Anolis sagrei: one gene and its partners. The protein of the gene in region 1 purifies or fractionates together with the protein of each later gene. This does not show direct contact. Links are inferred from orthologs where the notes say so. Each region holds a gene or a part of one and is shown in the gene's direction. Other genes may lie near its edges. The genes, in order: PRKACA, AKAP7, CDK5RAP2 and GPR161.

Region 1 (7,937 bases):
ATACAATACACAAATTTACCATATAATGTCAACAATTATAACTAACTAAAACAGTCAAACAATATACTAGCAGCAATAAAATCATCTTATGGTTAATGTTAGCCAAATCATAGTCCGTAATCCATCTAGCATCGTCATTATCCTTTCCTGCTCTGGTCGTCATTGATTGTCTTTTTCCATCTGCCAGCTTACCCGAAGGCCTGGTTCCACACCCAGGTTTTTAGCTTCCTTCTGAAAGCAAGGAGGGATATTGATGACCTAATCTCCCCTGGGAGTGCATTCCACAGGCGAGGGGCCACCACCGAGAAGGCCCTGTCCCTCGTCCCCACTAGTCTCGCTTGTGATAAAGGTGGGGCCGAGAGCAGGGCCTCCCCAGCAGATCTTAAACTCCGAGGTGGGACGTAGAAGGAGATATGTTCGGACAGGTACGCTGGGCCGGAGCCGTAAAGGGTTTTGTAGGTCAAAACCATCACTTTGAATTGGAAAGAAGTCAAAAGTTAACTATGCTGTAAGAGGAACTATTTAGGGAACTTATAGGGGTAGGAATTATAACGTATAGATATCATAGTGAGCAGAGATGAAAGTCCACGATGGGTGGGGGGGGGGGGGTCGAGAGAATGTGCTATCTACGATGTATGTCGCTGTTTTTGTATGTTGCGTGCTTTATTTGTTAATATATATCACTGTTTTTATTTTGTGTTTAAATAATAGTAAAATTTTAAATTAAAAAAAGGAATTGGGTTAAAATATGATTTTGAACAAATGGTCTTGCATGTTTCAGTTGAGAAGCATGCCTCTTTGCTCAATTTATAACTTCTATATTTCTAAATGTTTTAATTCTGAGGTAAGTATCCTAGGCAGGTCAGAACTGCCGCTATCAGATTGCTGTTTCAGCCATTCATTAAGAACAAAGTTTCATAACATCCGCTTAATCAGAGACACATTCCTAGCATCTAAATGAAGCTGCACTTATTAGTAGAATAGCTAACGGTGATTAGAAGAATAATCTGGCTAAATGTTTCGCCGTGTTTCAGATGTCCATAATTTCTTAATACATTTTTTCAGAGCGGAAGAACTTTAGTACCCAACGTTCCCAAGTTCTGATATCCTGTAAAAAGACAGACAGTGTTGTGACAGCCTAGTCAGTAGAGTTGGCAGAGGATAAGATGATGTATGATCCACTATCCATCTTACGTAATGAGAAAATTGATGCCATTACCTATCAAATTGGTACAGTTGAAAGGTGACAATGTTGAGATGAGCTTGGAAGTGATACTTCAGCTTTAAAAACATAAAGGCATTTCTCATTTTTAAATAGAGCTGATGGCTCTGCAGTTGGACTTCAACTGCTCCTTGGGATGTCATGCTTCAGGACAGGTCAGTTCCATGCAGCAGATAAATCAAGTATGGAATTATGTTTCCTGAAGTGTACTTCTCTTAGTGAAAGCTATTTCAGACTGGATATTAGCAACTAGATTTGTTTGTGTGTAAAGGAGGTAAGACAGATTTGATGCTGGTTAGTCAAACAAAAACATCAAAGATTCAGCCTATGATTATAGATGTTACATTCCCCTTAAAGTTGCATGTCTGTATCTTGGGTATACAATTGGCCCTCCACATCCACAGATTTAACCATCTATGGCTTGAAGATATTCTTTAAAATCCATTTTATGTAATAGATACAATTTTACTACACCATTATATATCTTGGAACTTGAGCATCTACAGAGTTTGGTATCCATGGGGGGGACCATCACCTATCAGATATCAAAGGTCCACTGTATTTTTGTATTTAACCCTGAGTCTGGAAGCTCAGGTTTCTGTGGTTCATAGGAGTGGGTTCACACCCAGGCCTTGAAGCAGGACAGAAATAACGTTCCCCCCTCCCTCTTTCTTTCCTCCCTCCCTCGCTCGCCACTGTTGTGGACCATCTTCATTGCTGACTGACAACATGGAGGCTCTGAACGTCTTCAACCAGGAACTTTTCTCACTGATGGAGATGAACCTCTTATTTCCCATGCAAAGATGTTTCTCATCACTAAAGCTGCAATTAATGCTATTAAGCTTTATAAGTATGTAGTCCGGATTATAGGGAAGTTTATAAAAAAATATAAACCAGAATATAAAGTCCCTGGATTATATATAATTCACTCAATTGTTCATAAGTCTCCTCATAAGCTTGGAACAGACAAGAACATTTTTGGGCCAAGATTTTGTAAAAATGTAATTGCCACATTTATATTTATATCTTTGCTCATCAGAAGATAAGAGTAAGATAGATTGTGTCCTCAACCTATGACAGAAAAATTGAGTATTTTAAATAGAAATTATCCAGCATAGGAGTACATTTGCAGTTAATGCGTGTGCATTCCAGTTAACTTTAATGTCTCTAGTTAGGCCTTGACTTGCTGGTTTTCATGTCCACAGTTGAAGCAAAGGACTATCAAATTAGGCTAGAAGCATGAAAGTTAGAAAAACTTGCTGAGATGGTAGAGTGCTTCAAGGACTCTTCTGTCTGCCCTATCTTGTTCCGCCCCTTGTCTTCTTACACAACCACTCCTTTCTGCTGCTCTGGCTAGTTGCATTTATTCTGGCAAGCTCATTAGAAAATATTTTAAGCCTTTTTGCTGAACCTGCCAGAGATTTACCTCCTGAGATGACAAAACATTCACCTGATCTAATGAGGCTTCACCTGCACAGTTTTAACCCTCTGTTGTCCCTTTGGGAGTGACAATGCCCTTCTTTTAATGCCAGAAATCAAGGCTTTTGGTTCTAAAGAACTAGGAAGGCTGCAGATTTGGCTATTGTGTTCTGTCTCTTGAGTATTTGATTTTCAGTATTGCCTGCAAGTGAAAGAATAGGAAATAAGAGGGCTGCCCCTTGCTTCAGTCCTATCTCACCCTACCTGTTTTGAGCTAAGTTGATTTACTTGACTTCAGCAATGGGAAGGGGAGCCAGTCTGGTTTGCTGACTGAGCGTTAGACTATGATGCTGGAGATCAGGATTTGAATCCCTGCTCGGCCTTGAAAACTCATTGCATGAACTTTGGCAAGTCACCCTTTCTCAGCCTCAGAGGAAGACTAAGACAGACTTCTTCTGAACAAATCATACCACAAAAACCACTTGGTAGGGTTATTTTAGGGTTGCCCCAAATTGGAAATGACTTGAAGTCACATAACACAACAACAGTGTGAAGCCACAAATCTGCACTTTTCCTATTTTGCATATAGAAATGACATTGACTGTATCTTACTGAGAGCAGATTGATTAAATAGATACTAAACAATTTAGTGTGAATGAACATTGGAAAATTCTGTCTTTCTGTTACTCAAGGCAGGACAAAAATCACTAGGGTATTCAAGAATTGCCTTCCAATATATTAAATTTTGACGTATTTTCTAGTCTTGTGACTGTTGTGTCTAACAGGGTCAACCACTGGCATTGAAGCAGTAATTCTCTTGCAATCATGTCTGATTGTTCTTAGAGGAAGTGAATATAGTCTTGCCTTATGATCAGAATGACATTATTTTGTTGGCCTGTTGTGCAGGAACCTGGAGACTGCTGAACTGTCATGAAGCAAAACAAATCTGCTTTAATTAAGCATTCACAGTGTCATTCCCAATGTGAATGCATCTCCAGTGACAACCAGCCATCTACCTGTTCACAGTGCTGAAATGGTTGGGGAGTGTGCAGTTTCATAACCAGATGGGATGGTTGTTTGCAGAGTGAGAAGTCTGTCCCTTTAAGGGCTTCCTGGAAACCTGGCACTATGCCTAGCCCCTTCTCTTTTTCCCACTTCAAGGCTGTTCCTTTGGGGCTTTTCTTGAAACAATACTGCAGATTACTCTGCCACTGTTCTTGCTGTCCTTATGTAGAAGTGGAGCCTTGCCCTCCGAACTGCCTCTGAATTTCCAGCCAGCTACGCTTTGAGGAAGGAGAGTTGTAGTGTTGGAAGAACTGGTAGTTGGAAGAACTGGTGATGGGGGCTTTAATTTGTCTCAACACTGAAAATGTAAGAAGCAGAGCTGTCATCTGGAAAGAGTGACATGGATTCTGAGTCCAACAATCCTCAAACTATGTGGGAAGGCAGCTCCGATTTCCAATTTTGGACCCAGCTTTTCCTATGGATGCACTTGCTTGGTCGGCTGGTCAGTTACATCTTGCATCACTTTGGGGGCTAAAGCAATAACCGTACTGCCGTGTTTGGATTCCTGTCCTAAATATACATTTCTTTGGCAAATAATCCATATGAGAAAAAGATATCTGGCTTGTACTTTCTCCTTCTCTTTTCCACCAACTCATTTCTTATTTATTAGAAGAGGTTTCATTTACCAGTGGCTTCTTAACTTTTGGATGGAGGCAAAGCAAAGGTTAAGTCACTAGAAGTGAGCCGTTATTTTCATTCCTGATCTTTGTGGGAAGATTATGGACTGTGCAGCTATGCACACTTTTTGTGCACATTTGGAAATGTTTTATAAATAGATTCTACAGATCATTATAACAATGAATGATATTTTGCAAAAGAGTGTTTTGCAGCCTTAACATTTAGGGAGAGGAAGTGCCCATCACCAGAAAACATAGCATCTGAACAAGCTCTTCTTTTGCCTCTGTCTTACAGACTGTATCTGTCTTGCCACACTATAGGCCAAGCTTTTTGAGTTGGGGTGTGGTCATTTCATTGTGTTAGCTGACTAGCTCTGTCTTCTGAAATTCTTCTCCCTCTTTTGCATTGGAGGATCACCCTGTGTTGTGGGGGTTTCCTACCTGGTGAGAGCCTTATTTGCCCTACCTTCAGGCCTGAGGGTGAAAGGGATTCAGAGAATCTCTGAGCTATTTTAAGCCTTATTGCGTGGCCCTCACTACAGTTGATCTGGCAAGCCTGCCTGCCTCCCTCCCTCCCTCCTTCTGTATTAATCAAATCTGCCCGCTGTTCACCCTCTGACCAGCTGTTTAAGTGACCAGGCTGCCCGTGTTTGTTGCTGAATACACAGAGACTATGGACTGGGCAATGATGGACCTTTCCTGGACATCGTGGGAGTTGGGGAATCCTGGTATGCACATGGATGGCTGCCCTGGAGAGCTGCGTACCAGTTGCTGAACTGTCATGAGTGTTTTGGTCCAGCGAAGTCATTTTGATGAAAATTCTCTCCCGGTTAGAAGTCGCAAACAGTTTGTTTGAGCCAAGTGCTTGTCTCAATCAGTTGGACAGGAATGTAAAGAGCTCTGCTGAGTCTGGGCTGTGTCTGCTCTCCTGTTGCTGCTTTCAGCCTTCTCTTCCTGCAGCAGGACAGAAAGAGGGTTGTGTCTGTCCCAATCTTCTTGCAAATGGCAACGACTGGGGCAAGTGCTCTCCTAGACCCTGACGGAGTGGCCTCACTCTGTTTGATGTGAGAGCAGAGCTGGAGCAGGCAAAGAAACTGGTGATTAAAATAAAGGGAAACATGAACCATGGAGCTGAGGTGAACTCTCGAAACTCCAGCAAGAACAAAGGGTGTAAGATGTCGGCGCTACAGAAACTGGAGAATCTGGCTGGCCGGATCTTTTACTGGGGCCCACGGAGTGATGCAGGGCTGCCTGAATGTGGAAACACAGCCTCTGAATCAGAGCACACGGCTGCTTGGAATGAGCAGAGTGAGTTGACAATAAAGCATGGCTTCAAGGGGTCTAGGGATGGGTGTAAGGTTCCCTGAATCTCTCCTCCCAAAATTAATCTGTACAGAACAAAAGCAATTGCTACTGTTCTCCTTATGCATGTCTTGGCAGCTGAATGTGGATCAGGTCAGTGAAGTAAGCTGCTGTTTGTTGCCAAAGAAAATATCAGATGTGATATGCTATTCTGATAGACATTTTGGTTGTGGCTACTGTCCATTCAGTTATTCATGCTAGGCTATGTTTTGAAGTGCAGGTTGCTTCCTTTTAGGGACACCAGAGCTGGGGAAAAACTGCTTTTTTGTTTACAACTCGCAGAATCCCCCAGCCATAGAAAATTATCATTTCTCAATGACAGAAGGGCTCCCTAGTGTGTGGCTATGATTTTAACCTCCCAGTGTTTATCAAGCATGACCATTGATCCAACTCTGCTTCACTGCTGGCCACTAAATGATTTAAACACTGACTTTAGTGGCTCTTCATTGCATACTCTATGTCTTAATTTGTCTATTTCAAGTATGACAGTCTGTATAAAAAAGGGATTACTTACTGAAATGACATAGGAGACTAGCTTAAACTGTAGGAAATGTACTAGTAATTCAGCAGCCATTTTGATGTGAGTAAAGCCATGGGGTAGAGTTGGGTGGGGGTGGCAGAGAGAAGGTGAATAATGGCAGGAGTGCCATCTATCCTGGAAACCATTTCCCTGCCTCACCCGTTTCCCTTTCCAGGCAGAAAGTTTTGGGAAGGAGCAAGAGATGACACAGGGAAATAATGTCTAGAGAAAATGCCTCTTCCCTGCACTTATCTGTTCTTTCCTACCCCTACCCAAAATTTATTATGGTAGAAGTGGGAAAACTTGGCCTTCCAGGTGTTTTGGGACAGCAACTTCCATCAGTCCTAGCAAGTTTAGTTTCTGTGCATTTGGCTGTGATGTGCATTTTGGGCTACACTGGTAATATAGAAAAATATACAACTTGGACTGCAGAGAATAAGGATAGTGAAGCATACCGAGATGTCCTGCCATATTTGGGGGAGAATGTCAGTTTTTTTATTCCAGCTGGCAGATAAGGTAGTATTTAAAAAATCCAATGTCTTCCTATACTCTTTTATTTTTGTGACCATTTTGCAGCCTTACCTGTGGATGTTTCTCACTTGGTAAGGGAGACCTTTATTTTTCTTCATATTAAATGCCTAATCAGACTTGGGAATTCCCGTCTCCAGCTGATAGAGCTTTGTAATGACACACATAGACTGGCCATTATTGTTTTAGCACTTTCCACTACTAGCTGAGACTATGGTTTTGATTCTTGACTTGGTGAACGGTTGTATTTTGATTCCCAGAGCACTCTATTTCAGGTTTTGGGTCAGAAATAGAAAGTAGACCTTTGCATTGTCTGCACTATACATTACTACCTCACAGCAGCAGAAGAGACTAAATGCAATCTGATTTTGGATCCTCAAGTATGTTTAAACAAAGCTGTGACAGTAAGTTTTGGCACTGCTGCATGGCCTAAAATAGAAGCTTGTACAACATCTGATGCCAGATTCCTCTTTGGCCTTGTTATGCTTTTGGCGTTGGCATCTCTTCTCAGTGCTGTGTCCGGTCTGTTGCACAAGAAGAGAAATGCTCAGAACCTCTGACAATCTTCTTCTTCAGAAAGTTAAATCTAATTATGGGAGCTAGGCACAATATTATAATACAATAACTTTATTTTTGTACACTGCCTCCATCTCCCCGAAGGGACTTGGGGCGGCTTACACGGGGATGAGCCCGATCAACATGGTGAAGATACAGCACATTAAAATATCTCAACAACAACATAATATAAAACAAAACAAAACAGAAAAACAACATTATAACAAAATATAAAAACAAAACATTAAACCAGTAATGAATGAGATCTGCGATAATAATCAGTTTCTGGGCATGAGTGGAGGGACTGGTGCACAAACAATTGTGAGGATAGGGCTGATGGATAAAGTGCATAGGTCATATGGCAGCAATAGAGATAGGGGTTAGTATACGATAGAGCATTATAACTTTGGGTATAGAACAATAGTAAAGTGCGAGGACAAGATTGTGGGTCCTAGCTGAGGCCAAGCTATCAGGGAGATTGTCTAGTCAAAAGCACAGTGCAACATCCACAGCTTTAGATCTTACCAGCATTTTCTACCTAGCTCTTTGTCAAAGGACTTGATGATAAAAACAATTGCGCTTCCACATGTATCACTGTAAAAACATTTGAACCTTCCAGTTTTCATTAGTAAAAGAACGATGACCAATC
Region 2 (7,771 bases), on another chromosome or scaffold:
TTTCTAGCAACTCTCCTTACACTGAAATGAAATTTGCTTATCACTTTCATCAGCAACATCATACATATGTATAACTTATTGTAACTTTATCTGTGTCATTCCGGCCTGTATTCTATATCTTCTTTAACCTATAGATTGCCACCACCTCTAGAACGACGTGCCCTTCTTTGTCCTTTGTTTACAGTTTGTATTAATATCAGAAGGCTTTCTCCTTTCCACCAGTTTCTCCTTTCCACCAGCTTAAATCCAGGCATTCCAGTTTCTCTTGTGATTACCGCTCCCAACAACACCTGTGCCAAAATGTACTACAAAGGTTGAGCGCTCGCTGGCACTACCCACACAAAGTACATTTTCTGTCTTCACACCAGGCTGGCAAACAACGCTGTGTCCTGCACCTGACAAATCAATTTCTGGGTTTCAAGTGATCAAAGTGCCACAAATATAAACCCGACAGACACGTCGTTCTGTTGTAGAGTGTGCAAAACAAACTATAGTGATCTGTCACTCAGTACTTTTTCGCACCCATGTGATTGTTGGATTTTTCATTTTTGTTTCACCCGAAACCATGTCAAGCATTAGATGCTTAACAAAAACCATGATCTGATGGGATAGTTTTATATCCAAAAATCTGGTGCCAACAATCTTCCCCAGAGGGTTTTTCATCCCTCTAGAACAAGTTTTAGGTCACATGAGGGACTGCCAATTGCGGCAGAAGCTTCAGGCTTCTATTGAAACACGTAATTGGAACCTGGGCAAAAAAAGTGGAAACCCTTAGTTCCTCCGGCCAAATGATACAGAATAGAAGCCGACCTACTTTCAATATGTAATTATGTAAAAAGTGGAACCTTTAATGTTCACTGTAAATATTAATCTTCATCTGCTTTGGCCCTTAAAAGTTCTAGACAGCTTCAAGGTCCAACTGGTCTTACAACATTCTGTAGCAGAACACCTGTTTTGAAGCTAGATAACAAACCTGTTCCATTTGTTCTGAAAGATATAATCCTCATCTCAAATCAAGCATATATTTAAAAACCCTGCAGCCCATTTAGTTGAACGGAAGAAGTATGCGTTCTGTTGAAGCTTCGTATCCATAGATTCAGCATTCATGAATTCAACGTACCAGGCTGTGGCGTAGCTAGTTAGTAGCCAGGTGCATTAAAACACTACTGACAGAAAGGTCATGATTTCAAAGCCAGCCCGGGTCGGAGTAAGCTCCCGACCATTAATAGTCTAGCTTACTGTTGACCTATGCAGCCCAAAAGAAAATTGCACCTGTCAAGTATTATTATTATTATTATTATTATTATTATTATTATTATTATTATTATTTTATTTGTACCCCGCTAGCATCTCCCAAGGGATTCTATGCGGCTTACAACAGGCCAAAGCCCACACAATATAACAATACAGTACCTAGCAAATAAAACAGTTAAGCAAGAACAATAACAATAGTAGTACAACAAGACATTATTAAAAACTGAGCCGGCCAGTTTTACTACCTAAAGTAGTAAATTTAGGTACCGTTGTATGCAGGGAGGCTAAGTTAACTAAGTTACGATGCCATAAAACCTTCCAGCAGCATGCAGGAGAATGAGGAAGTACTCCATCAAAGGACCCGGTGTCACAAGTGGATGGTGAAGCGACAGCTTCCCCCTGTGGCCGGAATCGAGCATACCCTCATGAAGCCAGAAAAGCTGGAATGTTAAATGGCCTCTGTGTCTGTCTATATATGTTGTATGTCAAAATGGCATTGAATGTTTGTCATGTATGTGTGCATTGTAATCCGCCCAAGGTCCCCTGTGGGGTGAGAAGGGCGGAATAAAAATACTGTAACTAAATCAATAAATAAATATCCACAGCGTGAAAATATTCAAAGAAAATAAGGGGAAAAAATCCTTGTTTTTGCCATTGTATATAAGGAACACCATTTACTACATCATTGAATGTGATGGAACACACATTCATAGATCTTGGGGTCCTGGAACCAAACTCTGTGGATACCAATGGTCCGACTGTAATCCAAACTAAATTAATTTTAACAATTTAAAGAGTTACAGCGACACAAATGCATAAGATGGAATGGAATGTAACTGCAACGCTGTGAAGGTCTCTCAATTCAAAATAATAGAAAGAACCCTTCAAAATGGCCATGTTAAAAACAATCTAGGGGCTATCTTTGTGTAACTGCTGATTTCATCTGCTTTGTGTGTACAAAACGGATTAAATCACTCTAATTTCCACCTCATTTCCTTGTGACTGAAAGTTTTGCACTTCTGGAAAAATAGCTCCTCCTTTCTCTAAGGTTTTTTTCTCTCTCCCTGGAGAGAACATCCTTTGCAGAAACTCTTAATTGGTTCCATCTGTACAGTTCAGCCTCTTTCCAGTATCTTATTAACTCCTTCCCTTCCAACTTAGGTTTCTAATATTGTTACCAGATGTATTGTCAGTTTTATTAATACTGTAGTATGAGGGCAGTATGAGGTGCAGCAGGTTAAATGGCTGAGTTGCTGAACTTGCTGACTGAAAGGTTGGTGGTTCAAATCCAGGGAGCAGGGTGAGCTCCTGCTGTTAGGCCCAGCTTCTGCCAGTTTGAAAACATGCAAATGTGAGTAGATCAATACCTTCTACTCACTTCTACTTGCCTTCTGTGGGAAGATAACAGTGCTCCATGCAGTCATGGCCACATGACCTAGGAGGCGTCTACAGACAATGCTGGCTCTTCGGCTTAGAAATTGAGATAAGCACCACCACCCCTCCCCCCCCCCCCCCCCGAGTTGGACACAACTTGAGTTAATGTCAGGGGAAAACCTTTACCCTTTTATGGGGGCAAAATGATTGCCCACACAGAAAATGCAGAAAGCTGGACAACGTGAGCTATTTAGGCTTAGGCTCAGTGTCAACAAAGGCTGTACTATTCAGAGAGAGAGAGAGAGCAGCTGCAACCCAGCTCCCCAGAACCAATGCGGGTGCAGCTGTTTGGGAGTCAGCTGTATTAAAATTACTACTGACTGAGAGGTCATGAGTTCGAAGCCAGCCTTAGCTGGAGTGAGTTTCTGGCCATTTGTCTAGCTTGCTGTTGACCTTTGCAGCCTGAAAGACAGTTGCATCTGTCAAGTAGGAAATCTAGGTACAGCTTATGCGGGGAGGCTAATTTAACTAATTTAAGATGCCATAAAACTCTCCAGCAGCTTGCAAAAATGTGGAAGTACTCCATTGGTGTCACAAGTGGATGGTGAAGCGACAGCTCCTCCGGTGGCCAGAATTCAAAAAGCATACACTCATGAAGCTGGAAAGTTAAATAGCCTGTGTCTCTGTCTATATATGTAGCGTGTCTATGGCACTGAATGTTTGCCATGAATGTGTGCATTGTGATCCGCCCTGAGTCCCCTGTGGGGTGAGAAGGGCAGAATATAAATACTGTAAATAAATAATAAATAATACATGCACATCTGCACTATAGAATTGATGCAGTTTGACACCACTTTTAACTGCCAGGGTTCAATGCAATGGATCCTGGGATTTGTAGTCTGGTGAGGCACCAACGCCCTTTGGCGGAGAAGGCGAAAGACCTTGTGAAACTACAATTCCAGGATGCTAAAGCACTGAATCATAGCAGTTAAAGTGGTATCAAACTGTATTAACTCTATAGTGTAGATCAGGCATGGGCGAACTTGGGCCCTCCCTCCAGGTGTTTTGGACTTCAATTCCCACAATTCCTAACAGCCTCAGATCCTTTTCCCTTAAGCAGAAAGGGCCTGAAGCTGTTAGGAATTGTGGGAGTTGAAGTCCAAAACACCTGGAGGGAGGGTCCAAGTTTGCCCAGGCCTGGTGTAGTTTATCCCTGGAAGACAAAAAGTGGGGTTTGCAACCCTGTGACCACAACACCCCAGATCAAATTGTGATTCAATATTAAATTTGTAGTTCTGATTAAAGATATATACATCTTAGAATCATAGAGTTGGAAGAGACAATAGGATTTTATCCTTATCAGTCTCAGATAGAATAGAATCATAGAATCAAAGAGTTGGAAGAGACCTCATGGGCCATCCAGTCCAACCCCCGCCAAGCAGGAAAATTACATTCAAAGCACCCCTGACAGATGGCCATCTAGCTTCTGTTTAAAAGCTTCCAAAGAAGGAGCCTCCACCACACTCTGGGGCAGAGAGTTCCACTACTGAACGGCTCTCACAGTCAAGTTCTTCCTCATGTTCAGATGGAATCTCCTTTCTTGTAGTTTGAAGCCATTGTTTTGCGTCCTAGTCAGGGCAGCAGAAAACAAGTTTGCTCCCTTCTCTCTATGCCTTCCCGTCATATATTTACACATGGTCATCATGTCTCCTCTCAGTCTTCTCTTCAGGCTAAACATGCCCAGCTCTTTAAGCCGCTCCTCATAGGGCTTGTTCTTCTGGACTTTGATCAGTTTAGTCGCCCTCTGGACACATTCCAGCTTATCAATACCTCCTTTCAATTGTGGTGCCCAGAATTGGACCCAGTATTCCAGGTGTGAAGAACAAAGAACAAAACGGATTAAATCTAAAATATTTTTAAAATACAGTATTTAAACCAATACTCTTGAGCAAATAACAGCTGTGGGGGATGTCACATCTTTAAAGGATTGATCTATTTGGGGAGAAGGTCCGCATTTCGGTATTCCTGCGAGGAAGGGCGGGGGAATTTGAAAGGAGTCGGTTTTGCACACGGCCCCACCACTTGCATTGCATCATGGGATCCGTAGTTCCCCCACAGCGGCCATTCCACAAGGACGCGTTTCTAAATCTCTTTCTTGGCCCTTCCGGCGCCCCGTAGCAGGAGCAGCTTCCCTAGCTATGGCGCTGCGTTTGTTGCTCCGAACCCTGCGCGCCTCCTGCCTCGCCGCTCCGCCTATTGGTCGCCGGATCCCCCTTTGCTCACCAGCGCCCCTGGCGGCCGGGCGAGGAACGGCCAGCTGTAGGGCGTTCCGAGAACGCTGCCTTCTATTGGCGGAACCTCAGAGGCTGGCGATGGAGGGCGAAGCGGGAGAGGAGGAGCCGCCTGTCCTGCCTGCGACCAGCGGGCAGACCGGTGAGGAGAGAGAGGAGAACGCGGACAGCCCCCTTATTCGTCCCCCAAAGAAAGGGCGGTGGAGGGAGAGGAAGAAAGGACCTTGAAACCCAGATCTGGCTCAGTTTTTCCCAAAGCCTGGCCTTCCTTGTGTTTTGGACTTCAACTCCCAGAGTCCCTGCTCGTTGACTCCTACAGCTGAGGATTCTGGGAGTTGAAGTCCAAAACAACCCAAAGGACTAGCCTTTGGGAATTGCTGTGGAATTGATGCAGTTTGACACCCCTTTCACTGCCTTGGTTTGAGGCTATGGAATCCTGTCAGTTGTAGTTTTACACGCCTTTTCTGCCAAACAGTAAAACTACAATAAAACAAGGGCCCGGTCCTATTCAACATCTTTGTTAATGACTTAGATGAAGGCTTGGAACAGGGATCCTCAAACTTTTCAAGCAGAGGGCCAGGTCGCAGTCCCTCAAACTGTTGGAGGACCGGATTATAATTTGAAAAAAACATGAATGGATTTCTATACACACTGCACATATCTTGTTTGTAGTGTAAAAACACTTTAAAACAATACAATAATTAAAATAAAGAACAATTTTAACAAATATAAACTTATTAGTATTTCAGTGGGAAGTGTGGGCCTGCTTTTGGCTGATGAGATGCCATTGTTGTGTGATTTCAGGTTGTTTCAGACTTAGGGTAAATGCCCTTGGGGGGCCATATCCGGCCCCCAGGCCTTAGTTTGAGGACCCCTGGCTTAGAAGGCATGATCATCAAATTTGCAGACGACACCAAATTGGGAGGGATAGCCAATACTCCAGAAGACAGTAGAATACAAAACGATTTTAACAGATTAGAGAGATGAGCCAAAGCTAATAAAATAAAGTTCAACAGTGACAAATGCACGATACTCCACTTAGGCAGAAAAAATGAAATGCAAAGATACAGAATGGGGGGGGGGGGGGTGCCTGGCTTGAGAGCAGTACGTGTGAAAAAGATCTTGGAGCCCTCATGGACAACAAGTTAAAAATAAGCCAACAATGGGATTTTGGCCTGCATAAATAGGAGTATAGTGTCTAGATCCAGGGAAGTCACGCTACCCCTCTGTTCTGTCTTGGTTACACCACACTTGGAATATTGTGTCCAGTTCTGGGCACCACAATTCAAGAGAGATATTGACAAGCTGGAATGTGTCCAGAGGAGGGCATCTAAAATGATTAAGGGTCTGGAGAACAAGCCCTATGAGGAGCAGCTTAAAGAGCTGGGTTTCCCTTGTCCCCCCACTCTTCTAGTAAATGTTGAATAAAAAAAATCAGGGAACACTCACTCTTGCTTTCTCCATGGCCACATTTGTTGATGTCTGCATGAAGACATCTGCAATGGCTAGGAGCACTCCAGATATCTGACAGCAGTAATGGGGGATGGTTAGGTGACAGTCCAGCATTTCTGCTTTGGATTGGTCCTGCAATTAAGCAATCGGTATAGATGAGCCCATGGTTAGAACCAAACTATGTGCTTTGCATGCCTGACAGCTGACAGTTGGATTACTCCAGACTAGATTATGGAGGCAATCTGTACTTTGAATGGTCAATAGTATACATGATAGCTATGTATAAATGTGTGAGAGGAAGTCATTGGGAGGAGGGAGCAAGCTTGTTTTCTGCTGCCCTGGAGACTAGGATGCGGAACAATGGCTTCAAACTACAAGAGAGGAGATCCATCTGAAAATTAGGAAGAACTTCTTGACTGTGAGAGCCATTCAGCAGTGGAACTCTCTGCCCCAGAGTGTGATGGAGGCTTCTTCTTTGGAAGCTTTTAAGCAGAGGCTGGATGGCCATCTGTCGGGAGTGCCTTGAATTTGATTTTCCTGCTTCTTGGCAGGAGGTTGGACTGGATGGCCCTTGTGGTCTCTTCCAACTCAATGATTCTATGATTTCTATGATTCTAATACTAATAATAATAATACAATATTATAATTATATATTTTATATTACATGTAACATTACTAATAATATTACAATATAATGGTGTAGTACAGTATAGTAATATATAATACTGATATTGTATTATGCTAATAATATATTGTATATATATCTTGTAAGCCACTCTGAGTCCCCTTTGGGGTGAGAAGGGCGGTATATAAATGTCATAAATAAATAAATAAATAAATACAATTGGTAAGATTGCCTAGCATTGAGCCATGGCAGTGAAAGTGGTGTCAATCTGCACTATTTCTACAGTATGGATGCACCCCTCTTTCCTTTAGAGCAGTGGTTCTCAACCTGGGGTTCCCAGGTGTTTTTGGCCTACTACTCCTAGAATTCCGAGCCAGTTTACCAGCTGTTAGGATTTCTGGGAGTAGAAGGGCAAAACATCTGGGGACCAACCGGTTGAGAACCAGTGCTCTAGAGAAGAATAATAGGCAACCTATACACATGATATGAAGGTCATTTTATACATATTTCAAATATGTATAAAATACATATTTCAAATAATTTGTCACATGAAAAGTGTGTGTACATAGAAGCTTAGAAAGCAAAGATGCCAATGTGTTGTCGAAAGTTTTCATGGCTAGAATCACTGGGTTGCTGTGAGTTTTCCAGGCTGTATGGCATTCTCTCCTGAAGTTTCACCCACATCTATGGCAGGCTTCCTCAGAGATTGTGGGGTCAGTTGGAAACTAGGCAAGGAAGGTTTATATATCTGTGGAAGGTCCAGGGTGGTAGAAAG
Region 3 (7,358 bases), on another chromosome or scaffold:
CATATAATGCATTATAGGTCACTGTAGGCTCATATAATGCTTGAGAGGGACAGTGTAGACTCATATAATGCATTATAGGATCAGTGTTGACTCATGTAATGCACTATAGGGACAGCGTAGACCCTTACAATGCATTACTGGGTCAGTGCCAATGCATATAATGTAATTCAACTACACTGAACTGCATCATATGGGTCTACACTGACTATATAATGCAGTTCCAAACTGCATTATATGTCAGTACGGATCCAGCCGTTGTCCTAGAGGGCACCAGGTTAGAGAAAAGGATAGGCAAAAATACATAAAAAGGAGAACCCACAGAAACTGCAATGGAAAAGGCTGGTGTTGGGAAGGGGATCCAAGGAAAGCTCCAATTTTGCCAGCAGCCAGACAGCATCTGCTTGTATCTGCAATGCACTAATCCTAATCCTAAAAGCATTCCTTCCCAGCTCTCGACTCGTTCCACCCGACCCACAGATGCTGGCCTTTCGTGGCTGAACCTGCCTTCCAAACAGACAAACAATGCCCAGACGCTGAACTTTTGCTGTCGTCGGCTGCAATTTCCCGGTTTAAGAGGGGCTTAATAATCGCCTGAAATGGACAACTCATTAAGATAAGACTCAACAAAAAGAGCCAATCCGATTAGCGTCGCTGGGCAAATTTGTTAACTGCTTCAAAATGATACCATCACCGTCCCCTCTTTCAGGTCTCGGCAGTACGACATAATCATACATAAATATTCATCTCAGTTAACTGGAACACTCAAGCAACTGGCTAAAAAATTGAAGAAAAATTGATATATATATATATATATATAGAGAGAGAGAGAGAGAGAGAGAGAGGAAGCTAAAAATCAAGGTATGTATGTATGTTGGTTTGTCCCACAATGGCTCCTTCATGGATTAGTGGATCTGGACCAAATCTGGCCCACAGACCCTTTGATGCTGAAAATTGGCGGTTTTTCAAAGCACCGCGGATCCCGAGGGATGCCTGGCAAGCTTCACTATCCAAGGATGTTTTGAGTCAGGAATCGGGAAGCTCAACAGGTTGAAGGCAAATGACAGAGACTTTATTCTGTCAATCTGCACAAAGGGGACAAGTGTAAAAGGATGATAACCATAAACAGGCATTTTTATACATGAAGATTCTCATGAATCAACATTGCTATGTTTTGAAACTCCCTCCCTTTCCCCTGATTGGTTGTCGCTGAGAAGCCAGCTGGCGTTCTCCAGGCCTCTGATTGGTCAGGAGGCAGGTCCTAGCCGGTGCACACCCTGATTGGAGGAAGCAGTGGTGACGTAGGCGGGGATCTCCTCCCAGCTGGCTTCCAATAGGCCGGTGGAGGTAGTCTTGGGGGAGATGTCTCCAGAGGCTATGCCAGCATTTCTCAACCTGGGGGTCGGGACCCCTGAAGGGATCACAAGAGGGCTATTAATGGGGTCTCCGAAGACCATAAGAAAACACAGTATTTTCTGTTGGTCATGGCGATTCTGTGTGGGAAGTTTGGCTCAATTCTATCGGTGGGGTTCAGAATGTTCTTTGATTTTAGGTGAGCTATAAATCCCAGCAACTACAACTTCCAAATGTCAAGGTCTATTTCCCCCAAACTCCACCACTGTTAACATTTAGGCATATTGAGTATTGGTGCCATGTTTGGTCCAGATCCATCACTGATTGCTGGGATTTATGGTTCACCTACAATCAAAGAGCCTTCTGAACTCCACCAGCGATAGAATTGGGCTAAACTTCCCACACAGAACTGCCATGATCAACAGAAAGTACTCTTGTTTTCTAATGTTCTTTGGCAACCCCTTTGATACCCCCGGCAACCCCCACAGGGGTCCCAACCCCCAGGTTGAGAAACATTGGTTTAGGGACTTATAAGCTAAAGCCAGCACTTTGGAAGGGTAAGGTGTATGAAGAAAAGAATGGAAGAAAGAAATAGAGAAGGAACGAAGGGAAAGATGTATGAAGGAAAGGATGGAAGAAGGAAGGAAGAAAGGAAGGAAGGAAGGAAGGGGAAGGTCTATGAAGGAAAGGATGGAAGAAGGAAGGAAGGAAGGAAGGAAGGAAGGAAGGAAGGGGATGGTGTATGAAGGAAAGAATGGAAGAAGGAAATAGAAAAGGAAGGAAGGAAGCAAGGAAGGAAGGAAGGAAGGAGAAAGTTATGAAGGAAAGAATGGAAGAAGGAAATAGAAAAGGAAGGAAGGAAGCAAGGAAGGAAGGAAGGAAGGAGAAAGTTATGAAGGAAAGAATGGAAGAAGGAAATAGAAAAGGAAGGAAGGAAGGAAGGGGATGGTGTATGAAGGAAAGAATGGAAGAAGGAAATAGAAAAGGAAGGAAGGAAGCAAGGAAGGAAGGAAGGAAGGAGAAAGTTATGAAGGAAAGAATGGAAGAAGGAAATAGAAAAGGAAGGAAGCAAGGAAGGAAGGAAGGAAGGAAGGAAGGAGAAAGTTATGAAGGAAAGAATGGAAGAAGGAAATAGAAAAGGAAGGAAGGAAGGAAGGGGAAGGTGTATGAAGGAAAGAATGGAAGAAGGAAATAGAAAAGGAAGGAAGGAAGGAAGGAAGGAAGGAGAAAGTTATGAAGGAAAGAATGGAAGAAGGAAATAGAAAAGGAAGGAAGGAAGGAAGGGGATGGTGTATGAAGGAAAGAATGGAAGAAGGAAATAGAAAAGGAAGGAAGGAAGCAAGGAAGGAAGGAAGGAAGGAGAAAGTTATGAAGGAAAGAATGGAAGAAGGAAATAGAAAAGGAAGGAAGGAAGCAAGGAAGGAAGGAAGGAAGGAAGGAGAAAGTTATGAAGGAAAGAATGGAAGAAGGAAATAGAAAAGGAAGGAAGGAAGGAAGGGGAAGGTGTATGAAGGAAAGAATGGAAGAAGGAAATAGAAAAGGAAGGAAGGAAGGAAGGGGAAGGTGTATGAAGGAAAGAATGGAAGAAGGAAATAGAAAAGGAAGGAAGGAAGGAGAAAGTTATGAAGGAAAGAATGGAAGAAGGAAATAGAAAAGGAAGGAAGGAAGGAAGGGGATGGTGTATGAAGGAAAGAATGGAAGAAGGAAATAGAAAAGGAAGGAAGGAAGCAAGGAAGCAAGGAAGGAAGGAGAAAGTTATGAAGGAAAGAATGGAAGAAGGAAATAGAAAAGGAAGGAAGGAAGCAAGGAAGGAAGGAAGGAAGGAAGGAGAAAGTTATGAAGGAAAGAATGGAAGAAGGAAATAGAAAAGGAAGGAAGGAAGGAAGGGGAAGGTGTATGAAGGAAAGAATGGAAGAAGGAAATAGAAAAGGAAGGAAGGGGAAGGTGTATGAAGGAAAGAATGGAAGAAGGAAATAGAAAAGGAAGGAAGGAAGGAGAAAGTTATGAAGGAAAGAATGGAAGAAGGAAATAGAAAAGGAAGGAAGGAAGGAAGGGGATGGTGTATGAAGGAAAGAATGGAAGAAGGAAATAGAAAAGGAAGGAAGGAAGCAAGGAAGGAAGGAAGGAAGGAGAAAGTTATGAAGGAAAGAATGGAAGAAGGAAATAGAAAAGGAAGGAAGGAAGCAAGGAAGGAAGGAAGGAAGGAAGGAAGGAGAAAGTTATGAAGGAAAGAATGGAAGAAGGAAATAGAAAAGGAAGGAAGGAAGGAAGGGGAAGGTGTATGCAGGAAAGGATGAAAGAAGGAAATAGAAAAGGAAGGAAGGAAGGGGAAGGTGTATGAAGGAAAGGATGGAAGAAGGAAATAGAAAAGGAAGGAAGGAAGGAAGGGGAAGGTTATGAAGGAAAGAATGGAAGAAGGAAGGAAGGGGAAGGTGTATGAAGGAAAGAATGGAAGAAGGAAATAGAAAAGGAAGGATGGAAGAAAAGGAAGGAAGGGGAAGGCGTATGAAGGAAAGAATGGCTCTTTTCACATTCAGCTGGCTGTGAAGGGGCGGTCCTTAGCCCTTTCCTATCGCTCACTGCGCAGGCGCTTCCAACATCCGGGCCTCCCCTCCCCTGGCATCCCTGAGTCCCTCAACAAAGATGGCGCGCGAAGCACCCTCAAAGAACAATTCCCCCAGGAAAGAAAGAGCTCGCCCTACCCTTGAGTGCAGTTGCCCTTTCAAGGGCGGCTGCGTCGGCTTCAAGATGGCCGACGGGCTTTTCCAAAATGGCGCTCAGCTCCACAGCGGATTATAGAGAGCTGATTGCCTAAAACTCTATTATTACTATTAATTATTTAGACTGGATGGCCATCTGTCAGGGACCCTTTTGTACTTTTCCTGGTTGGACAGGGTGGTCTCTATGTTTCAGTGAGTCTATGATTCTCGAGCCCCTCCTCCTTCCCCGCCCACTTTTGCCACATCGATTCCCTCAACAAAGATGGCGCCCGAGGCGTTTCTGGAGAGGGAAGAGGGCACGCGGCCTAAGGCGGTCTGCGGCTGCCCTTCTGAGGGCGGCTTCGTTGGCTTCGGGAAGATGGCGTCGGGCTGAGTGGCGGTTTGAATTCCGAGCCCGCCGCCAAAGTCGGGAGCAGAGCAGCCCGGGCCACCGGCGGAGGAGCCGCAGCCGCCCGCTCTCGTCCCCTCTCTCTCTCCCTCCGCCATGGACTCCCTCCCGGCGGAGGACCCCACCTTGCCCTTGGGCTTCAACGGCAGGTGAGGACGAGGGCGGGTTTGGCCCTCAAAAGGCGCTAGGCCGCGAAAAAGGGGGGGGGGGAGGGGGGAATTAACTCCTTCGGGCCCAAGACTGAATTCCAGTCGGAGGACAAAGAAGCAGGCGTGAGAGAAGAGAAGTCTTTCCAAGGGAAGGGAAATGGGTTCAGTAGAGCCTCCAGGCATAGGCGCAGTCTACCTGAGAGTAACATAGTATTATACAATAGAGCGTCCAGACACAGGCACAGTCTACCTGAGACTTGGATTGGTTTGCTTTTAGTATATAATGTAATAGAATATGAAACTAATAATACAATATAATAATAGATAACAATAATAATATTGCAATATAATAATACAATACTACTGGTACTTACTTAGGCTATCCTTTGTTGGCCGAGTATTCTTGTGGATCCGCAGGTGCCTGTGGAGCCCTATTCTTATTTCTTATTTATTTATTTACTTACTTTGCTTGTATACCGCAGTTTCTCAGCCCGTAGGCGACTCAACGCGGTTCACAACAAGAGCAAAAAAGTCAATCGTACAACATACAATATTTAAAACCCTTAACAGCCTAGTATACAAATAATGACACATCAATAACAACACATTAGCATCTCGTAACTAAAATCGTGATCCAATTCGTCATCCATAAATCCGTTCCTATATTCATCGTTCAATTGCACTATTTATCTGAACGCCTGTTCAAACAGCCAGGTTTTTAGTTTTCTTCAAAACACGATTAACGAAGGGGCTGATCTAATGTCCATGGGAAGGGCGTTCCACAGCCGAGGGGCCACCAAAGAAGGCCCTGTCCCTCGTCCCCGCCAGCCATGCTTGCGATGCAGGCGGGATTGAGAGCAGGACCTCCGCAGAAGATCTTAAAGTCCTGGTGGGTTCATAGGCAGAGATACGTTCGGATAGGTAGCTTGGGCCAGAACCGTTTAGGGCTTTATAGGCCAACGCCAGCACTTTGAATTAAGCCCGGTAGCAAATCGGCAGCCAGTGGAGCTGGTGCAGCAAGGGAGTTGTATTCTTGACCTGCATCTTCTCCCACAGTGAGGGCATTGGTTTCCAGGTGGACGGTGGTCCCGGTCCTCGGGGTTGGCTTGACGCACCTTCCTCTTGGCATGTTTCTTTCTTTTGTCCTCCATTTGTGCCTCTTCAAATTCTGCAGCACTGCTGGTCACAGCTGACCTCCAGCTGGAGACTTGTCCACAGCTGTGTAGACTTGTCCATAGCTTACTCATTGTCCGAGTAGGATTGTCTTCCAAGATCAGTGTCCTGGCGGTGGGTCCGTAGGTGACTGTGGAGCCCTATTCTTAATCTGCATGTTCTCCCGCAGTGAGAACATTGGCTTCCAGGTGGAAGACGGTCCCGGTTGGGGTTGGCTTGACGCGCCTTCCTCTTGGAACATTTCTCCCTTTCTCCCTCCATTCGTGCCTCTTCAAATTCTGCAGCACTGCTGGTCACAGCTGACCTCAAGCTGGAGACTTGTCCACAGCTGTGTAGACTTGTCCATAGCTTACTTACCTACTTAGATGAGCCCTCATTGTCCGAGTAGGATTGTCTTCCAAGATCAGTGTACTGGCGGTGGGCCCGTAGGTGACTGTGGAGCCTTATTCTTAATCTGCATGTTCTCCTGCAGTGAGAACATTGGCTTCCAGATGGAAGACAGTCCTGGTTGGTGTTGGCTTGATGAGCCTTCCTCTTGGCACATTTCTCTTTTTCGCCCTCCATTCGTGCCTCTTCAAATTCTACAGGACTGCTAGTCACAGCTGACCTCCAGCTGGAGCGCTCAAGGGCCAGGGCTTCCCAGTTCTCAGTGTCTATGCCAGAGTTTTTAAGGTGGCTTTGAACCCATCTTTAAATCTCTTTTCCTGCCCACCAACATTCCGTTTTCAGTTCTTGAGTTCAGAGTAGAGCAACTGCTTTGGGAAACGGTGATCAGGCATCCGGACAACGTGGCCGGTCCAGCGGAGTTGATGGCGGAGGACCATCGCTTCAGTGCTGGTGGTCTTTGCTTCTTCCAGCACGCTGACATTTGTCCGCTTCTCTTCCCAAGAGATTTGCAGGATTTTTCGGAGTCAGCGCTGATGGAATCATTCTAGGACTTGCATGTGACGTCTGTAGACAGTGCATGTTTCGCAGACATATAGCAGGGTTGGGAGGACAATAGCTTTATAAACAAGCACCTTGGTATCCCTACGGGTGTCCTGGTCCTCAAACACTCTCTGCTTCATTCAGAAAAATGTTGCACTCGCAGAGCTCAGGCGGTGTATTTCGGTGTCGATGTTGACTTTTGTGGTGAGGTGGCTGCCAAGGGTGCGAAAATGGTCAACATTTTCTAATGTTACACCATTAAGCTGTATTTCTGGCATTGGAGAGGGGATGGCTGGTGACTGCTGGAAGAGCACTTTGGTTTATCAATGTTTAATGACAGGCCAAGCTTCTCGTAAGCTTCTGCGAAGATGTGTAGAGTAGCTTGTAGGTCTTCTTCTGAATGCGCACAGACGTCGTTGTCATTAGCGTACTGGAGTTCTATAACGGATGTTGTTGTAATCTTGGTTTTGGCTTTCAGTCTGCTGAGGTTAAATAGCTTGCCATCTGGAACACGGCCAGACAGCCCGGAAAACTCACAGCAACCCATTGATGCCAGCCATGAAACCTTTGACAACACAGTGTTACTCCTGTTTCATTGTGCTGTTCTTACTTTGAAAATAGTGGCCATCCTCCAGAATCGTCATTTTTGTG
Region 4 (7,635 bases), on another chromosome or scaffold:
ACAACTTTCATTCCAAAAATCCCACTCTTCTTCTTTTAACATTGCAAGCAATACAAAAAGTATTTTGTATAATAATTAAAATGATCAAAGTATTACAGAAAAAGCTTCCATTAAATTATTTTATATTTATGCATTTCAGTTTCTATTATAGGTTCTGAAGCTTTATTTGCTTTTTTCATGTTGTTATTATTTTTTATTATTTAAATTATTTCTCTTTGATTACTTCCTCAGTACTTCAACTGTCCTTTTGCTCTTTTATTTTTTTCTTTCTTTCATGGATGTGATGTCCTTTGGAAGTTTGTTTAATGGCCTTTTAGACTTCCTCCGCATAAACAAGAATTCACTTTTTTTTAAAAAAAAATAAGAATTATATGCCACCGGGGGTTGCAGGTGGGGAGGAATCAGGATTTTAGAGATGCTTACATGGGGCATGGCCAAAAAAAGTTTGGGAACCACTGCCCTAGAGAATCCTAGAGAGACCATATCAACCCACAAATGAATCCACAATGTTAAACCTGCAAATGCAAAAGGCTGAATATAAGTAGTGTTAGATTATTTGGTTGATGAACCATTTGTGCTCTTCAGTCTATTTCTGAAGAGAGGGTGGAGAGAAAGAAAGTGGGAAAGAAACCAGCTGTTGTTCTTCCTACATAACTCTGTGGTTAGTGTCTGCTAGAGGCTGACCACAGACTACAGCAAAATATCTAGCGGTTTCTAGGGAGATCATTTTAATCAAATCCATGAAGAATTCAACCTGCAAAAGTCAAACCCACAAATTGGTGGGTGGGGGAGAAGCTTTACTCCTACTGAGAAAGACAAAAAAAAATCAATATAGTTAGACTCAGACCCCTTTCTGGATCTCTGGGCCTCGGTAATTTACATCATCACCACAACATCAGATTTAGCTGGTTTCAAGAGTCTATTCCATTATTATCAGTGCATTATCTAACCAACTGTGTTGTGGATAACTAGGTCTGCTGATAAAATGATCTGTGCCCGGCTAGTGCAAGCTAAACCAAATGTGCCAGGACAGAGAAATACTCACCAGGTTGAAGACAAAACACAGAGGTTTATCCAGTTCAGCCAAAAGGGATGCAAATACAAGCAGATGCTTCAAAGTGTAGAAGCGTAAAACATACAGAGAATGCAAGAGATCTTATAAGGTTTGACAACTATTCAAAATTCCCACTCCTTTCCCTGATTGGCTGAGAGAGGGGCTGGTCTGGATCTGAGACCTGAATGGCTGAAGGTGCTGCTGATGCTGCCTTCAGGTTGTGATTCCCTATCATGGGGAGATGACAGCTTGGAGTTGGTCAGCCGAAGAACCAAACAGCTGGTGGGGTGTCCCCTGGTAGGAGACGTCATTTGTGAAGACAATGTTTAAATAAATGATACTAAGCTCTTGATTGGCTCAATAGTCCAGTTCTGTGTTTGACAAAGATAGGGGTTTCTGCAGTCAAAGACATGAGATTCCCAAAACAAAGGTGATGATCTTGGGCATTCACAGTTTGGGCTGTCAGTCAATAGGTTTAACAAATGTAATAATCATCATCATCATCTTTATTTATACCCCGCCACCATCTCCCCAAAGGGGACGCGGGGCGGCTAACATCAGGCCAAGCTCAAAAATAATACAGCAAAGTTGGACACAAAACTACAGAAAAAGTTACATCAAAACAAAATAAATAAAGTAACAAATTAAAATAAACAGTGCAAAATAACATAATAAAATCAAATAGAAAGGGTGGGCCAAATGCACGAGATAAAATGTTAAAACGTTAAAACCCTGGGTGAGATAGGAATAAAAAGTATATTTGTGAGGGAGGAGTCCAAGAAAGGGGAGCAGTGAGGTTTGGCTTTATTAAGGACAGGGGGAAAGTGCATCATGAGGACAATTATAGATGGAAACAAACAGAATGGGTTGAATGTACACACTCTAAGCATCTCTTTCCATGGTCAGCAATCTCTCAGCCTCAAGTGAACCATTTAATCAGACAAATACCTCTTGGCTTATCTGGGCTGACATGGGAAACTATCTCTGTATACATGAACAATTGATTCTGATGATTGCCTGTCTGCAAAACAGCCAGAGGGATTTGCCCAACCTTCCAGTGTTTGGGAAGTGGCTCTTTGGAGTTATATAGAGGTGATTTTTCTCTGGCTACATCTTGCTACATTTTATATGGAAAAGTATACATTTTATATAAAAGAAATAGATATTGTATACAGAAAGATACAATTTACACAGATAGTCAGGGGAAAAGTGACTGGCTTGACTCTGAAGGAGTTGGGGGTGTTGATGGCCGACAGGGAGCTCTGGCGTGGGCCGGTCCATGAGGTCATTAAGAGTCAGAAGTGACTGAACGAATAAACAACAACAGCAAAGTCAGGAAAAAATAGGCATAATTTATTAAAGGGTTGGAACTATAAAGTCTTTGTGGGGGTGAAGCTGCTGTTGGTCCATTTCCGATCTCCACCGCTTCGCACCAGCAAAGTTCAAAGAAGTTAAGAAATTTCATAAACTTGATAAACTATTAATCTTTTGGGAGGAGGGGCATTGTGACTCGACAACTGTACCCTTCTTTCTGAAGTTCTTCCCAGATACAATCTTTGTTCTGCCTTTCTAATACATCATGTAATCTAAACAGAGAGTGAAATGTTGTTTAAAGTTAGCTATATAGATCATGTTACTTGGGATTAAGGAGAGGAAAGGATCACATGTTCAAATTAGTTATTTCTTAAAAGTTTATAGAGGAAACCAAGCAAGATGATAAACAAATTCTATTGTTAGCACCCAGTAGAATAGACTTTTGAGCCAATAATAATTTGGTTTTAAATGCCATGCTTCAATGGGTTAGTTCTAAGTTATGGTAACAAAAGGAGGTATTCCAAAATGTGTGGCTTTTAACTGTTCTTTCCTTGCCAGTGATCTGACCATCTTTACATACACAATAATAATCCAGATTTCCTTTACCAATCCAATGGCAGCATATTCAAACACTGAGCGAAAGTGTTATGGTCTGGGTTTTGGGGTAGAAGACATGTTTATCATACTTGTCAACATTTCATAGATAAAAATAGTGATTTCTTTCCCTGCAGCTAGCACTGTGTGACTACACATATACCTCCTTTTTCCTTCAGGCTTCTTTCCATCTGCTCTACATTAAACCAATCGTAAACAAAAAGGAAACCTGTGGAATGTTTATTCTTACAGTCTGATTGTAATGACTGTAGAAAAATTGCAGCTCCAATATGTTCAGTAACATTTACTACTGTGAGAGGCCAATGGGATAGAATAAGGGAGAGCACTGTAATTCTTTTACCTGTTGATGTGCACTTCTTGTGGACTGAAGTAAAGTTGCATCAGTGGTCCCCACCTGTCATACATTGCACTCTCTTTCCTCCTGAAGACAAAGAATGGAGAGCTAATGTAAGGATTAAATCAGTTTTATAACCTGAGGCTAATGCTGGCCACACAGCATTATAACAAATAGTTGTAATGTCTTATGACCATGTTTTTCAGCTGCTTTGAGTAATATAACACACACACACACATACAGTATATATATATATAGGCCCCTTGGTGGCGCAGCGGGTTAAACCACTGAGTTGCTGAACTTGCTAACTGAAAGGCTGGGGGTTTGAATCCAGAGAGTGAGGGGAGCTCCCACTGTTAGGCCCAGCTTCTGTCAACCTAGCAATTTGAAAATATGCAAAATATGATTAGATCAGTAGGTACCACTTCTGCTGAAAGGTAACTGTGCTCCATGCAGTCATGCTGGGCACATGACCTTGGAGGTGTTTATGGAGAACATTTCATCACAGACTGCCCTTCGACCAAAGAGACCTGGCAAAAAGTGGCCATCGTCTTTGACTGGCCGGACTTGGTGCTCCAACCTGAGGAAACAGTGGTCTCTGTAATGGAGCTGGAAACCAGGATTCGGGGGCCACGTCGACACCAAGGAAGGAAGAGGAAGAGAGGACCCAGCAGGGGGACACTCAGGAGGCCTTTTGGGATGTTTCTTGGACAATGACAAAATTGATCAACTTGTACGTTCTCCTGGCCCTGGTTTTCCAGAGATGTCAAGAACCTCTAGTGTAAATTGGGTAGCAGAGAAAATAGGAATGAAGCCGGATGCCCCCTAACTGATGGAAAAAGTTCTGGCCCTGGCTGGCAGAGACCACATCTGGGATGACCTGAAGGGTTGTAGGTTTTATATAGATAGATATAATTGATAGGTAGGGAGCCACTGGTGTAGATTAGCCCTCAGCCATCTTATGTGGAATTCCAGGTAAGGGATGCTGGGCATATAATGTGGGGGGGGGGGGGGTGTTCTCATTCTGGCACCACCCAGATGGCAGGAAACTCTGCCAGTGGGGATGGAAACTGAAGTGTGTTCCTCATGCCACTGGACTCGCGGGCTGCCGCTGAATCCCAAGCGCTGCCTCCTGCCCTCCCATGGCCATTCCTTCGGCCGAGAAAGAGCTGGCCTTGGAGAAGAACAGCAAAAATGAAGGAGGGCCAGAAAGGGAGATGAGGTGTAAAAGGGCCAGGAATGCCGGGGGAGGAAATGCTGCCTAAGTCGGCTGCTTTGGAATTGGCGGCCGACTTTTCCCAGCAAGGCGAAGAAGACGAGCCTCCCGCCAAGTGAGCGGGTGGAGGAGCCTTGCAAGGCAAGGGAGGAAGGAGGAAAGGCATCGGGATCCTCTTCTCGGCCCGCCGAAGAGGCCCAAAGTTGAGGGGGAGAAGGAGGGAGAGGAGAACAAAGGAGCGGAGGAGGGGAAGAGGGGGAAGGGGCGGCGCTGGGGGAGCTCCGTGGGCGGCGGCGCTGGTGGGGGGTCCCGGGAAGAGAGCCCGCTCCCGCAGCAAGGCAGCCCCCGGGACACACGGTGAGTGGCCTCGCACGGCGCCCAAGGGGGAGGCTGGGCACCGAGGAGGAAGGAAGGGGTTCGCCCGGAATGGAGCGCCATGCCCCACCTCTGGAGGGGAGACTCGCGGGAAGAGAGGGCCTCCCGTTTCGGGAGGGAAGGAGAAGGGGCTGCCTGTGTCCGACCCCGAAGAAGAGGAGGAAGAAGGAGAAGAAAAGGGGGAAGGAAGAGAAGGAGAGAAAGAGAAGGGAGGGAGAGAAGAGAGAAAGAAAGAAAGAGAAGCGGGGAAGATAGAAAGGGAAGGGAGAGAAAAACAGAGAAGAAAGGGAGAGCGAGAGGAAGAAGGGGGAGAGAGAGATTGAGAGAGAGAGAGAGAAGGGAGGAAGATAAAGAGAAAGGGAAGGGAGTGAAGGAGAGAAAGACAGAGAAGGAAGGAAGAGAGAAGGAAGGGAGAGAAAGAAAGATTGGAAGATAGAGAGAAAGGGAAGGGAGAGAAGGGAGAGAGAGAAAGGAAGGAAGGAAGATAGAGAGAAAGGGAGAAAGAAAGAGAAGAGAGAAAGAAGGGAGAGAAAGAAGGAAAGAGAGGAGGATAGGAAGGGAGGGAGAGAAGGAGAGAAAGGGAATGGAGAGCAAGAGAGAAAGACAGAAGGGAGGAAATGAGAGAGAAGGATTGGAAAGAGAGGAAGAGAGAAAGGGAAGGGAGAAAGAAAGAGAGGAAGAGAGAAAAAGAGGGAGAGAAAGGGGAGATGGAGAGAACTACAGAGAAGGGAGGAAGAGAGGGAGAAGGAAGAAAGAGAAAGAAATAGAAAAGAAGAGGAAGATAGAGAGAAAGGGAGGCAGAGAAAGGGAATGGAGAAAGAAAGAAAAGGGACAAAGATTGAGAAAAAGAGAGAAAAGGAAGAGAGAGAAAGAATGAAAAGAGGAAGTGAGGAAAAAGGAAAAGTTAGGGGAGAGAGGAAGGAGGAAGAAGGAAAAAGGAGGAGAAGGAAGCAGAAGGGAGAGGAAAGGAAGATGAGGCCCTTGAAATAAAGGCCAGCTTTTCTCAGGGCGCATCTACATTGTAGAACAGGCATGGGCAAACTTGGGTCCTCCGGGTGTTTTGGACTTCAATTCCCACAGTTCCTAACAGCCTCAGGCCCTTTCCTTTTCCCCCTCAGCCACTTAACCCAAGTTTGCCCATCCTTGTTGTAGAATGAGTGCAGTTTGAAACCACTTGTCTCTGTGCCATGGAATCAGGCTTCCAGTCTTCCAGACATTACAAATAGTGAGTCAACCGTCCCTGTGATATCCAGCAACAGGGAAAAGAACAGCTGAAGGAGTTCTAGGCTGCATCCACCAAATTATAGTGTCCAGATCAAGAGAAAGGACACTTTATTTGGCTTGTGTCCAGTTCTGAGCACCAAAGTTTAAGTTTGAAACTTGTGCGAGGTCCATAGGAGATGCAACTAAGATTACAAGGGGCATGGAAACCAAGGGTCATTTCACACCATACAGTTGTAATGCTGGGATTCCACTTTAACAACTACTGTTCCATCCTGTGGAATCCCAAGTTTTGCAGTTTCGGGAGAAGCTTTTAGAGTTTTCAGTGGGATTGTGCTCATGTCTCTTCAAGCTGCAAATCTCAGAGTCCCAGAGGAAGGCAAAAAAAAAAAAATAGAATCATAGCAGGGTAGTATGAAAAGAGTCCTATGAGCGATGGGCATATTTAACTGGCAATGAAGTGATGTGTGTGGGGGGAGGGGGGAGTATGTGGATGGATTGCTGATCGCACATATCATGTATCAATGAAGCATTGATCTAGAATACACCAAAGAGCCCTTCCCCACTGGCTGCACTTGATGATATGTAATGATTTTAAACCAATTAAAGATAGAATGTAAAATTATATCATTTAGAAAAGCACAGTATTCGAATGATACCTGTGTTTTTCTTCTTTTTCCAGGTGCCCAGCATGTCCTGGCTGTCCATCTTCCGTACGCTCTGATGATGAGCATCAACTCCTCTCTCAGCCACAAGAACGCCTCAGGGAACCTTACACTTCCAGAGAATGGAGTAGGCAGAATTACAGAGTCAATTGCAATTATTGTCATTGCCATCTTCATCTGTTTAGGAAACCTGGTCATTGTCCTGACCCTCTACAAAAGGTCATACCTCCTCACACTCAGCAACAAGTTTGTGTTCAGCCTGACTCTATCCAACTTCCTCCTTTCGGTACTTGTGCTTCCTTTCGTTGTGACCAGTTCCATTAAGCGAGAATGGATCTTTGGCGTCGTTTGGTGCAATTTTTCAGCCTTGCTGTATATGCTGATCAGCTCTGCCAGTATGCTCACGCTCGGACTCATTGCTATCGACCGGTACGCAATGTTTTTCAATAGAAGCCACGTGTCAGTGAGCAACAATGAAGTCTCTGTCTTATCCACCCATTCTGAGAGATAATGTGATTCAAAAAACCCAGTATAACCATGTCCTTAAACTAAATATTATGAGGACCTGTTTCCTTTTTCATGCCTATGTGCAGGTAGCAAAGCATGATTGAACTGATATGTCTTCTGTTAGGTCTCAGAAGCTGCTGTAAAAAAAATAGGAAGTCTAATCATTGGCCTGATGCAGCAGGCTATTCATATGTTATAAGTACAGGTTAAGTCTCCCGTATCTGACACACTTGGAACCAGAAGTATTTCAGATTATTCAGATTTTGAAATATTTGTATTGTAATGTATTTAAAAACACAAACAAAGTTAACAATTTGGCATTATGCTAAATGCC

Evidence for each region.
Region 2: the proteins of PRKACA (region 1) and AKAP7 purify together in Homo sapiens (affinity purification with mass spectrometry; 4 studies listed by BioGRID and IntAct, with this or other methods). This does not show direct contact. The link is inferred for Anolis sagrei from reciprocal best matches to the Homo sapiens genes PRKACA and AKAP7.
Region 3: the proteins of PRKACA (region 1) and CDK5RAP2 purify together in Homo sapiens (affinity purification with mass spectrometry; 6 studies listed by BioGRID and IntAct, with this or other methods). This does not show direct contact. The link is inferred for Anolis sagrei from reciprocal best matches to the Homo sapiens genes PRKACA and CDK5RAP2.
Region 4: the proteins of PRKACA (region 1) and GPR161 purify together in Homo sapiens (affinity purification with mass spectrometry; 3 studies listed by BioGRID and IntAct, counting the BioPlex papers as one, with this or other methods). This does not show direct contact. The link is inferred for Anolis sagrei from reciprocal best matches to the Homo sapiens genes PRKACA and GPR161.

The regions. Positions count from the first base shown.
Region 1 is NC_090022.1:112,796,780-112,804,716, reverse strand, and holds the start of PRKACA (cAMP-dependent protein kinase catalytic subunit alpha), read left to right. Parts: upstream 1-4,931; 5' UTR 4,932-5,441; coding exon 5,442-5,631; intron 5,632-7,937.
Region 2 is NC_090021.1:82,614,072-82,621,842, reverse strand, and holds the start of AKAP7 (A-kinase anchoring protein 7), read left to right. Parts: upstream 1-4,764; 5' UTR 4,765-4,826; coding exon 4,827-5,061; intron 5,062-7,771. UniProt on the Homo sapiens protein: Probably targets cAMP-dependent protein kinase (PKA) to the cellular membrane or cytoskeletal structures.
Region 3 is NC_090031.1:14,494,215-14,501,572, reverse strand, and holds the start of CDK5RAP2 (CDK5 regulatory subunit-associated protein 2), read left to right. Parts: upstream 1-4,340; 5' UTR 4,341-4,554; coding exon 4,555-4,607; intron 4,608-7,358. UniProt on the Homo sapiens protein: Potential regulator of CDK5 activity via its interaction with CDK5R1. Negative regulator of centriole disengagement (licensing) which maintains centriole engagement and cohesion. Involved in regulation of mitotic spindle orientation.
Region 4 is NC_090023.1:41,704,665-41,712,299, forward strand, and holds the start of GPR161 (G-protein coupled receptor 161), read left to right. Parts: upstream 1-4,618; 5' UTR 4,619-4,648; exon of another isoform or gene 4,649-4,674; intron 4,675-4,796; exon of another isoform or gene 4,797-4,890; intron 4,891-5,615; exon of another isoform or gene 5,616-6,133; intron 6,134-6,811; 5' UTR 6,812-6,852; coding exon 6,853-7,223; intron 7,224-7,635. UniProt on the Homo sapiens protein: Key negative regulator of Shh signaling, which promotes the processing of GLI3 into GLI3R during neural tube development.